Neurospora crassa OR74A: one gene and its partners. The protein of the gene in region 2 purifies or fractionates together with the protein of the main gene of each other region. This does not show direct contact. Links are inferred from orthologs where the notes say so. Each region holds a gene or a part of one and is shown on either strand. Other genes may lie near its edges. The genes, in order: NCU01675, rbg-40 and NCU09475.

Region 1 (3,747 bases), on a different chromosome or scaffold from region 2:
CGAAATCATGTGGGGGGTACTGCCAGCCAAACCGGCACTGACCATGGTGAAGAACTCCTCAATAGAGGCGGTAGCCGCAGGAGCATCCGCGGGCATGTGAGGGACCTTGCTGTTATCGATCAAAGAGCCCTGAGCAGAAACCATCTTCTGGCCAAGGAGAACCAGAAGGTCGAAGGCGGTAGTGCGAGCCTTCTCGTTGTGCTCCTTGCAGCCAATGACAACCTCTGAAAGAATGGAGGGAATGAAGTGCAGGGAATCGTTGGGGATGAAGTGAATCAGAGCAGCAATGGCAGCCAGGCGCTCTCTCCGGGCAGGTGCCGACACCTTCTCAGAGCTGGACAGGAACAGGGTTTGGAGCTCGCCATGTCTCTCCTCGAGGGCGGCCTTGCCGATGGGGGAATCCGCCAAGCGAGGAATGAGCTTGTAAGCCTTCTTCTGCAGCTGAGGGTCATCATCCTTGAAGATGACCACTGAAGCGATCTTAAAAAGAGCCTCGAAGCTGGCACGGGGGAGGTAGATAGACATGGTAACGACCAGGTCCATGAGAGTGTGCGCGGCAGAAGGCATGTGATCGGCCTTCTGCTGTTGTTGGGGCTTCTTCTCAACAGCCTCTTGAAGAGCCTCGGCGAGCTTCTCGCACACCATGTCGAAAGTCTCGGTAAGACGCGCGGGAGGGATGATGCTGAGGTAGGCGTTGATGGTCTGGAGGACAGGGCCGCGCTTCTGGGGGAGAGTGGTGCTGTAGACGTTGAAGAGAACAGCGAGGAAATCAGCTGCAAAGGTGGCTCCGAGGTACTCCAAGTTCTTCTGCGCCTGCTCCTTGCTGACCCTGCCAAAGAGAATGAGGTCATCGACCTCATCGGAAGTGGCGATGGCCTGGTTGGACTCAACAACGGTCCTGAGGGCGCGACAAATATCCAAGCGCAGGTCAACCTGCTCATACAAAAGGTTGGTCAACATCTCAGCGAAGCCTGTGTCAAAGGCCTCGACAAGATCAAGTGGAAGGTCGCAGTAGCCGGGAAGAATCGACCAAATTTGCTGAACAACAGTCTCGAAAATCTTGATGTGAATGTTCTTCTCGCCCTGGTGCTCAATCACACGCTGGAACATGATAGCACTGAGAGGAACCAATTCGCTCTTGAAGTGTGCAAGATTGGTGTTGGAGGTGTAGTCACGGAGAAGAGGAAGCATCCAAGCTCTGCCAGGCTGACCCTTGACGGGCTTCGCGAGGTTCAGGGGAAGAACATTCAAGACCGCCTCAGGACCCATTGCACGAATCGCCTTGCCAAGGACCTCGTCGGCTTCCTGCTTTCCAGCGAAAGAATCGTTACCGCGGATTTCGCCGATGCTCTTGACGACGGAAAGGAGGTAAGGGTTAGCCTGCCACCGAAAGGCATCGAACATGGCACCAAGAACGTTGAAAGTCTCCATCCAGGCAGCTTGGTACTGGACGGTGAGAAGGCCCTCGACAACCTTGACTAGTTGCTGAATGACCTTCTCGTCAAAAATCGAAGGCTCAAGGATGGCCTCCTTGGGGACACAGTTGGCCAGGAAGGAGACCAAGCACTCGGACGCCGAAACGCGAATATTCTTGTGCTGGGACTCGAGGTATCCTGCAACCAGAGTGAAAGGATCGACCAGCTCTTGGAAGGTCTCGGCGGGCGAAATCTGACCGGCAACATCGTAGGCTCTCGACAGAATGGCGATCCAGGGAGGGAGAAGCTGGGTATCGTTGGGCGCGGGACGGAGCTCTCTGATGATCTCGAGCAGCCGAGGAAGCTTGGCGGAGGCAACCTCGTCGGCGGCCATGCCCTCGAACATCATCTCGAAGATCTCGAAGACAGCCATGCTCATGTGCTCGTTGCCCGTCCGGGCAATGCTGAGAAGGAGCTCGCACAAAGACTCAATGCTCTTGCTGGGCCAGCCACCGCTTCCAGAGGCGACAGCCTTGACGAGTTGCAAGGCGTGGATAAGCTCGGGATCGTGGGTAGAGTCGGTAGTCTTCTTTTCCTTCCTCTGGGCGGCGGCCTTGTCAGCGACAAGACGGAGGCTCTGCATGGCTGTCTCGGCGCACATGGGGGCGGCGGGGTGGTCGAGAGACGGGCTCGGCGGAGGGTTCTTCAGGATGTTCCTGAGCGCTTCCTGGGCTCTCTTGCGGACTTTGGGACGCGGGTCGAGGGCAAGGGCGAGGAGGCCGGCCACAGCCCGGCGGGGGCCAATCTGGGCGGTACCGAGCTCCCACTGTGTCGCATCTTGAGCAAGGAGCAAGCTCTCGAGAGAGCCGATCGAGGCCCTCATGAGGGGAGCATCGGCATCGGGGAGGGATAGTACTGGCGCGAGGATGGTGATGATCTGAGTGAACTTGGCCTGAAGAATAGGCTTTGGAGCGAAGGGAGTGACGACATCGAGGAGGTAGACGACGGGGGTCGCGAGGTTTTCGTTGTTGAGTAGACTGAGAAGGGCAGCGAAGTAGGCGGTAGGAGTCGCGGGTGTATTGCGCTCCTTGAAGGTGGCCTCGATAGCCTCGAGGACACTGGCAGTCTGTGGCTCAAGTCAGGGTCCATTGTCCACGATGGAGGCGGCCTTGCGACAGGCCACTGCAATGGCAGGCTGGAAGGAAGAGGGTAGGGATGCAGAAGACAAAAGATGGAAAAAGGAGAGATGCATCATGACTCTGGCTTACCTGCTTCTGGCTCTGGAGATTCGGAGACCGAATCTTGTCCAGTTTCTCCTGCAAAGACGGAGAAGAAGCCATCGTGAATGTGATGGAATGGCGCTGGAGTGGGACAATGCAAGCCGCTTCGCAGTGCTGAAATCGATGTCATGAAGAACAGAAAAGTTCGAAAAGTTGTCGCTTATCGGCGCGCACGCCCCACCCGCTGTCATTGATAAGGGTCTGGCGCTAGTCCGAAGCGGCTCCCAACTGTAACTCCAGGGTTAGCTATGGCATCTCATGCTTATAGAGGTACCTATGTTTCGCTTGGGCAGCCATCAAGGTTATGAGATACAACAATTCATGTTGGATCGTACGAACAACGCGTACCCACTAGGAACAAGTTTCTATTGCTTTAAGCCCATCTCTACCCCAGACAGCAGGTTTGTTTGGGTCTTCCGTAAATCACCAAAGCGTCGATGACCGTATTCATGATATGACAGTTCATCCCCCTCCCAACCAGAAAACGCCGGTACGATAACAAAGAAAAGAAAAAGGAAAGAAGGAAACCAGAAAGTGATAAATGGCTGTATATCACAAGTTCCTCCACCCTGTTTATGAAAACTCGTTGTCTGCCTCCTCAAAGTTGTTCTTGATCTGGAGAAGAACAGCCGCCTTCCAGTCATCGAGCCGGCTCATCTTATCGTACGCGGCAAGCTTATCCTGGAACATCTCGAGGTTGTTGTTTGAGGCTGCTTCCAACAAGTCAACCAGGAGTTGGTATTCGCGCTGGCCCGTAAATGATGGGTCCTTCTCGGCATACTTGGTGATGTTACGCTGAGCAGTGACCATATCCTTGGTCGCCAAGGAGCAGAGACCGGCCTTGAGGAAGTACTCCTTGACCGAGTACCTCATCAGGTTGTTGCCGAGTGAAGCCTCCGCAACCTTCTCGAACTTCTCTATAGCGGCGAAAAAGTCGCCCGCGAGGGCAGAGAGGTCGGCCACCTTGAGCCACAGCTTGTTCGCAAGACTACACACAGCTGGTTAGAACGACCTGTTGGACTCGTAACATGGCGCAAAAGCCGTGGGCATTA
Region 2 (3,747 bases):
ACTCATCAGATCGACGGCATCGGCTTCAGCGTTGCTCTTGAGGAAGAGCGGCACCAGAACCAGGGCAAGATCGACCAGCTCTTGAGTCGGCTCATCATTGGCTATGCGCTTGGCGTAGACCTCGCCAATCTCGAGGGCGAGATGGCGAACGTACTCATGACCCCACGAGCCAATGTCCTGTGTTGGGGAAAGAAGTCTGTATTTCAGAGTATCCTGGCGGTCCTCGTCCGAGTATGTCATACCGATCACCGATAGAACATCTGCGAGAGATGACTTATCATCGCCAGCGGGCCACTCGTCGTAGAGTTTCGTCATGGTTTCATAATGCGGGCGCAGGAACTTGAGCGGCTTCGGTACCGCCGTCATGGAGGATGTGGATGTCTTGATAGAGTTCTTCATGGCCTCGAGGGCCGGCTTGTAGAGGGTCGCATCGGATTCCTGAAGACATTGTACTGTTAGAGAAGCCGGTCTTCAGCCTGTATCACGTCATTGCGAAGCACCAACCGTTAGCCGCTCAACGAGCATCTCAAGCTCGCTCTTGAGCTGCTGATCCTCTTCACTGAGTTCCTCGGAAGCTAACGCAAAGCGCTGTCAGCAGAAGCCCGGCGCCGATACCTCAAGTCGGTCGGAGTGGCCGAGAAACCCACCATTCTGTTCCTCCTCCTTCTTTCCGTTTGCGGGGGTCTTTCCATCGACATCTTGGTGCTTCTTCTCGTCATCGACGGCCTTTCCCTTGCCCTTATCGGCCGTCTTGGACAGGTCGCTTTCTTGCGCCATGATTACTGGCCGTGATGGTTGTAGGTGGGAGGATTCGCGGAGCCGATGGGTCCAGTTGGAGGGGAAACCAAGGTCGGTTGGGCTGGCCGGGGTAGGTGGACGCGGCGGTGGCGTTCGCTGCTGCAAGAAATGTTCAAGTTTTGTCACCGAGTTTGCTTGAGCGACAGGAACTTGAGCTCCAGTCGTGAGCAGAATGTCAAAATCAAAAGTGGATGAGCTGGCTGCGGTTGTTTGGAGGTTGTTATGTTGTTCAGGTGACGGTTTTGGAGGTTGGAGCTTTTGCAGGTTCGCCCAGAAGCACCTCAGTTGCTGAAAGCCAGCAAAGGTCAGTGGCAGTTACGGTACTAACGCCAGGGAGCTCCGATGGTGGTTACGCGACTCGCTTGCCGCCTGAAGCTCCCCCGTCTGGCTGAGAACGCCCCTGCGATCCAATGCTGCCCGCCTCAAGTGGGTCTGGAAGCCTCGGTGGGGACGAGGCGTCATCAGAGCCTGGAAGATACAAATTCCGCTCCCCCCAAGCTTCTGATAAGATAAGCTACTGGCCTGGACCTGGCGCTTGACCGGGCAGGCACAGCTCAGCGAATGGAGCCCACGGCCAGCCCTATCTTATCGGGAAGATGTTATCGCAACCGTGCATTTGGAATTTGGGGGACGCCCACTTTCCATTCTGGACATCAGCTTTGCGCTTCACCCACCTTGACTTTGACTTTGACGAGAGCGTCGTAGACAGCAACCTAATAGCTCTCTTGGATCAATACAACATCAGAAAATCTCTCACAGCAATTAGGCCGACAATCACCTGAGGGGAAAAAACAAAAAACATCCAAAAAGAAACACACAATCATGTTTTTGGACACCAGAGTTTTACGCCATCTCACGGCAGAAGACTGGAGAGTCTTGACTGCCGTTGAGATGGGCAGCAAGAACCACGAGCTCGTCCCGACCCCTCTGATCGAGAGAATTGCCCGTCTCAAGGGCGGTGCCAGTGGTGTTCACAAGAGCATAGCGACCCTTGCCAAGTCTGGCCTCATCGGACGCATGAAGGAGGCCAAGTACGACGGCTACCGACTGACCTACGGCGGTCTTGACTATCTGGCCCTACACACCCACTCCTCGAAAGATGTCGTCTACAGCGTTGGCAGTCGTGTGGGTGTTGGCAAGGAATCCGACATCATGATCGTAGCCGACAAGACCGGCAAGCAGAAGATTCTCAAGATCCATCGCCTAGGCCGCATTTCCTTCCGTACCGTCAAGTCCAACCGCGACTACTTGCGCAACCGGCAAGGCGGCTCATGGATGTATCTCTCGCGGCTTGCGGCCATGAAGGAATATGCCTTCATGCAGGCTCTCCAAGAAGAAGGCTTTCCCGTTCCCGAACCGATTTCCCAGTCCCGACACACTATCGTCATGAGCCTGGTCGAGTCCCTACCACTTAGACAGGTCTCCTCGGTTCCAGACCCCGCGAGCCTCTACGCTGAGCTTATCGACCTCATCCTTCGATTGGCCAAGCACGGGCTCATCCATGGTGATTTCAACGAGTTCAACATTTTGATCAAAGAGGAGCGGACCACCAAGTACACGATCGAGGACGGCGAGGAGAAGGAGACGGAGACGGTAACCCTTGTCCCAGTCATTATCGACTTCCCACAAATGGTGTCTATGGACCACGTAAACGCCGAGATGTACTTTGACCGCGATGTCGAATGCATCAAGAGGTTCTTCAAGAAGCGCTTCCACTTTGTGCCCACACAACCCGGTCCTTTCTTCAAGGATGCTAAGAAGACGGTTGGCAAGGATGGAGCTAAGCGGTTGGACGCCACTGTGGAGGCTTCAGGATTTACCAAGAAGATGCTCAAGGAACTGGAGAAGGCTATTCAGGAACAACAGGCGAAGATTGATGCGGGTGAGGCTGTGGAGGAAGAAGAACTCGACGAGGACGAGGACGAGGATGAGGAGGATGATAGTGGAAGCGATACAGATGATGAGGAAGATGAGGAAGATCAACAAGAGGAAGAGGAACACGCCGTGTTCGAGATTCCGGCAAATGTTGGAAGGCCTTTGTCAGATGCAGAGAAGGGGCTGGAAAAGTTATCACTTGGCGGCAAGGGCGGCAAGCGAAGGGCTTGAAGCACATCGAGAGGAGAAAAGAAACGCGTTTCATGTCAGCTTTGAGATACCCCCAAATCCTATGCATTTCTATCAAGCAAATTTGTACTAAGACGTGCCAAGCAGGTTTTTAAGACTTTACGCTTATCAGTTTTTTTGCAACCCATATGTTGATTATGACACCCTCCGCAAAAGCAGTTTGACACACGTCACAATCGAATAAAGCCCAACTTGAATCACATTGAAACGTACTAATACTTTAGCTTCTGCTCCCACCTAACCTTCAAAGACCTCTGGCGGCGATGTCGGCTCTACTGACCATTTTCCGCCGCTGGCACGATAGGCTTCGGCACCGGGACATAATCATATGTGCCCGCCATACCCATCAACCAAACCTGACTGGGGTGCGCAGGAACCTTCTCTCCATACAAGAATGAGCTAGGAAACCCAATATCGAACGGAACCGCGCTCTCAATCTCGTCGATATCCTTGTCCGACAACGCCAGCGTGAGCGCCTCAATGTTACCCTTCAGGTGCTCGACCGACCGGCCGCCAACAATCGGGAACACGTACGGAGCCTTGTGCATCACGTACGCCAGGGCGACGGAGGTGATGGCTGTGTTCTTACGCTGCGCAATCTTCTCCAGAGCCCGGCTGATTTTGATCTGCTCCTCGGTCGCCTTGATCTTGCGGCCTTCGTTGGCTTGCTGCTGGCGCTGCTCCTCCGATTTGAAGCTGCCGCCCCCGAGGGCCCCCCAGGGCGCGAGCCCCATGCCTTCGTCCCGGCACATGGGAATGATGTCCCGCTCAAAGTCGCGCGAGGCGGCGGACCACCGGCCTTGGTAAATGCAGAACTGCCGAAGT
Region 3 (3,747 bases), on a different chromosome or scaffold from region 2:
GGCGCGCCTTGGACTGGATGAAAGAGCACCCCAGGTATTTCAGCCCGTCGGTCAAGGAGAGGGGGTTCGAAGCCCTGGGAATCGATCCGGAAAGGGACGCGAGGATGATGCCTAAGTGGCGAGGTCTGTTTTGCGTTCACGCCCAGGTCAGTGCCGTCGGTGCTTGGCAGAGGGCTGGCTTTGTGGTAGATGAAGAGATGGGGAGGTGGTGGGAGGAGGGGATTGAGCATGTTGGCATGTTTTGTCGGGTGGATGCGAGGGCGTAGGGGTATCTGCCGGAGTCGGGGCTGAGGACGAATGGACATTGGGGGATATTGGGCAAAGATGTTGGTGGTTGGTAGTGGTATTTGTGACAGTGTTTCCTTCTTGTTAGCGGGTGTGTGTGACATTGATACCATAAAAAGGGTGATGGGAAGATGGGTCATAAAGGGCTAGAGGAAGTCTTGAGTCGTTAATTCACTTGATGGCAGAAGTACCGCCCTATTGAAACTAATACATGATGAAGTATGAGCAGCTAGACTTCTGTAGCGGTGACGTTAAGCAGGAGCCTGAAGCGGCAGATGACTTACGTCATGTTGTTGGAGCCAGGGAGATTCAGCGAAAATGCTTCCTTGCTATTAGCGCTTGCGATATGTTGTATCATACAAAAAGAGGGTAGGGACGTTAAGTCTGAAAGCAAAAAGGTGTTGGAACTGATGTTCAGTCGTTCACTCATGGTCAAACGGACGTCATGCATGGAAAGAAAAGGGGAATCATAATTTCACCGAATCACCGGCGCCTCGTGGTATATGCACTTAAAATCTTGTCCGCAAATCCACGTTTTCCTCTCATTCAATGTCTGAGAGCCCTTATTGAGTGCCTGCCTGTTTTGACCTAAGTGCCGTAGAAGAACCGCATCCTCCCAGACCCAGTTCCCTTTTAACGCGCAACAAATGCAGCCGTAGTAGCAGCCGAGCAAAACATGCCGAATAGAATCCGTCCAACAACTCCAAGCACCCAACAAGTTTCCCCCATACACCTGCAGCCAGCCAGAACCGCTTTAACGGTTGGACTTGGCAACACGCTCGAGCTCATCCTTCTTCTTGATGGCGTACGAGTTGGAGGAGCCCTTGGCGGCGTTGATCAGCTCCTCAGCAAGGCACTCGGCAATGGACTTGACGTTGCGGAAAGAAGCCTCGCGAGCACCGGTGGTGAGGAGGGCGATGGCCTGGTTGACACGGCGAAGGGGAGAGACATCGACGGCCTGGCGACGGACGGTACCGGCGGAACCGATACGGGTGGAGTCTTCGCGGGGACCGCAGTTGACGATGGCATCGACGGCGATCTGGATGGGGTTCTGGTCGGTCATGAGGTGGATCTAGATATCGTGTGTAAGTGACTGTGTCTGGATAATCGCGTATCGCAGATTATTGCGCATTTCGGGAAGTCTTACGATCTCGAAGGCGTGAGCGACAATGCGGACAGCCATGAGCTTCTTGCCGTTGTTGCGACCGTGCATCATGAGGGAGTTGGTGAGACGCTCAATGATGGGGCAGTTGGCCTTGCGGAAACGCTTGGCGGCATAGCGACCAGCGGAGTGGGGGAGGTAGACGGGAGAACGGATCTGGATGTAGTCGCTGCGTAGATATTGGTCGTTAGCCCTCCGTTCGCGTATGTGTCTTGTATCATCTTTGCGACCAAGATGGATGTTGCCCAAATCCCCCACGTCCTCCAACCGAATTGGCGATCAATCGTAACTCCTAATTTCCAACATTTTCCTGACTCTTTCTTTTCCTTCTCCTTCTCGCGTACATGTCCGTCGGATCGCGTTTTCGTAGCAATCTGAAAGGGCCGTGTTCTTGGTTGTTTTGGTATGTGTGCATCATCTAAACGGGTTGCGCTTACGTCAAAGAGATATCCCTGATCTCGACATCCTCGTAGCTCCAGCGGTCTGAGGTCGCAAAGTTAGCATGACGACGCCCATGTGCACTTTGCGAAGGACCGTAGAAAACATACTGAACAGCTTCACACTGCCAACCTCAGCGAGGACCTCCTTGGGGAGGACCTCGTACTGGGAAACGGCCGCGACGTCAACTTCTCCCTCAGACATTTTGATTGCTGTTCGGTGGCCGGACTGCAGGTAATTGGTGGTGAAGTTGGCCGTGAGTTCGGACAGGATAACGTCGAAAGGGTGGTCGTTCGGCGAGCGGAGAGTGACGGGTCGTCGTGGGAATTTTTTGGTGGCCCCGCCCCAGGTGGTCAAGCCCCAATCTGCCGCTACGAAGCCCCAAAAGACCCAGTTGTGCCCCCAGTTGTGCGGCCCGTGCACCGCCACGCTGGTTGCCGCAAAGGGGGAGCAAAATGGTTAGGGCTCAGTTAACCTAAGCTTGGCCTGGCGCGCACCCGCAGTCACTGGCCGGAGTGTGTGCAGTGTGTGCGTGCGCAGAGACCAGCCCAGCGCCCGAGCCACACTTGCCTGCGCGCCGACCAGAAAAATCTCCCCGCCTTTTCGTTGCGCAGAGGAAAAGACCTTGAAGCCAGGACTGTCTCTCCCTCTCCCCTTCATCCACCAAACCACCAGAACTCATCATTCAAAATGGCTCCCGCCGCGTCTGGTGCTAAGAAGCAGAAGAAGAAGTGGTCCAAGGGCAAGGGTAAGGAGAATCTCTGTCCATTTTTCGGGGTCGTCATTTCCAGCAGATGATGATGGCTTCACGACTGTCGCCGTCATGGCCGTCGTCACTGCCGTGATGGCGCTCCCCGACAACACGAAAAGTTTGGGCCAAATTCACTGACACACACCCACAGTCAAGGACAAGGCCCAGCACGCCGTCATCCTTGACAAGTCCACTTCCGACAAGCTTTACAAGGACGTCCAGTCCTACCGCCTTGTCACCGTCGCCACCCTCGTCGACCGTCTCAAGATCAACGGCTCGCTTGCCCGCCGCTGCCTCAAGGACCTCGAGGAGAAGGGTCAGATCAAGCAGGTTGTTGGACACAGCAAGATGAAGATCTACAGTACGTCTCCCTCGCCCGGTTGAACTGACCGGCGACATTGGATTTCGATCAGAGACATATTCGAGAACAATTAGCTAACACGCGACTTCTACAGCCCGTGCCATTGGCGCTGACGAGTAAATGTCCAAACACCTAGCGATTTTCTTGACATGACGGACCGGCAGACTTGAAAAGGTGGTTCGTCAGCGACAAGAAGGGGTTTGACTTTTTTGATCGGGCTACGTCTCTGGTGGGAATGGTCAATCTTTGCATGCACAATGCACACGGTGTAGCATTTTAGTGGGAGGGGAATCGGGAAGTGCTCCTCAGATTCTTTACACAATCACACTGGGATTATGCATCGATCGGAAGATACGAACGGAACGACCAAGATCACGACAAACGAACGGGGCAGACTCGCCTCCTATCTGCCTGGGAAAGAGCTGTACCCGAGTTCGATGCTTACGTGCAAGCCGTGTGTGTGCGCGCCTAGTCCGATGGGAACGGCCCATGGGCAGTTCTCTATGATACCCCAATCCATGGAAGAGGACAAGAAGGACTAGAGGCGGTAGAATAGGAAACTAATTTACTGCCTCAAAGCAACATCTGAGTTCACACGATATGCCAGTGACGTATGTGAATGATGTATGGACCTATCGATGGCTGGATGGAATTCTCCACGACACTAGTCCAGCCCTATGATGAACAGGTCCCATATCGTGTACACTATGACCGCGCCTGGCCGTTGAGGTATCCGGTCACGGTCATGGA

The links.
Region 1: the proteins of rbg-40 (region 2) and NCU01675 purify together in Saccharomyces cerevisiae (affinity purification with mass spectrometry; 4 studies listed by BioGRID). This does not show direct contact. The link is inferred for Neurospora crassa OR74A from reciprocal best matches to the Saccharomyces cerevisiae genes RIO2 and RRP12.
Region 3: the proteins of rbg-40 (region 2) and NCU09475 purify together in Saccharomyces cerevisiae (affinity purification with western blotting; 8 studies listed by BioGRID, with this or other methods). This does not show direct contact. The link is inferred for Neurospora crassa OR74A from reciprocal best matches to the Saccharomyces cerevisiae genes RIO2 and RPS5.

What each region holds. Positions count from the first base shown.
Region 1 is NC_026502.1:2,739,580-2,743,326, forward strand, and holds the start of NCU01675 (90S preribosome component RRP12), read right to left. Parts: upstream 2,852-3,747; 5' UTR 2,756-2,851; coding exon 2,684-2,755; intron 2,542-2,683; coding exon 1-2,541. Other genes in the region: NCU01674 (alpha-soluble NSF attachment protein), read right to left, coding at 3,269-3,683. UniProt on the Saccharomyces cerevisiae protein: In association with GSP1, required for nuclear export of both pre-40S and pre-60S ribosomal subunits. Required for the late maturation of the 18S and 5.8S rRNA of the pre-40S ribosomes and for maturation of the 25S and 5.8S rRNA of the pre-60S ribosomes.
Region 2 is NC_026504.1:2,085,314-2,089,060, reverse strand, and holds rbg-40 (serine/threonine-protein kinase RIO2), read left to right. Parts: upstream 1-1,456; 5' UTR 1,457-1,620; coding exon 1,621-2,904; 3' UTR 2,905-3,152; downstream 3,153-3,747. Other genes in the region: rpn-1 (26S proteasome regulatory subunit rpn1), read right to left, coding at 1-438, 505-575, 648-777; NCU07723 (norsolorinic acid reductase), read right to left, coding at 3,195-3,747. UniProt on the Saccharomyces cerevisiae protein: Required for the final endonucleolytic cleavage of 20S pre-rRNA at site D in the cytoplasm, converting it into the mature 18S rRNA. Involved in normal export of the pre-40S particles from the nucleus to the cytoplasm.
Region 3 is NC_026502.1:4,399,284-4,403,030, forward strand, and holds NCU09475 (40S ribosomal protein S5), read right to left. Parts: upstream 2,298-3,747; 5' UTR 2,090-2,297; coding exon 1,996-2,089; intron 1,931-1,995; coding exon 1,885-1,930; intron 1,617-1,884; coding exon 1,433-1,616; intron 1,358-1,432; coding exon 1,040-1,357; 3' UTR 408-1,039; downstream 1-407. Other genes in the region: NCU09474 (acetyltransferase), read left to right, coding at 1-266; NCU09476 (40S ribosomal protein S25), read left to right, coding at 2,576-2,633, 2,788-2,997, 3,092-3,117. UniProt on the Saccharomyces cerevisiae protein: Component of the ribosome, a large ribonucleoprotein complex responsible for the synthesis of proteins in the cell.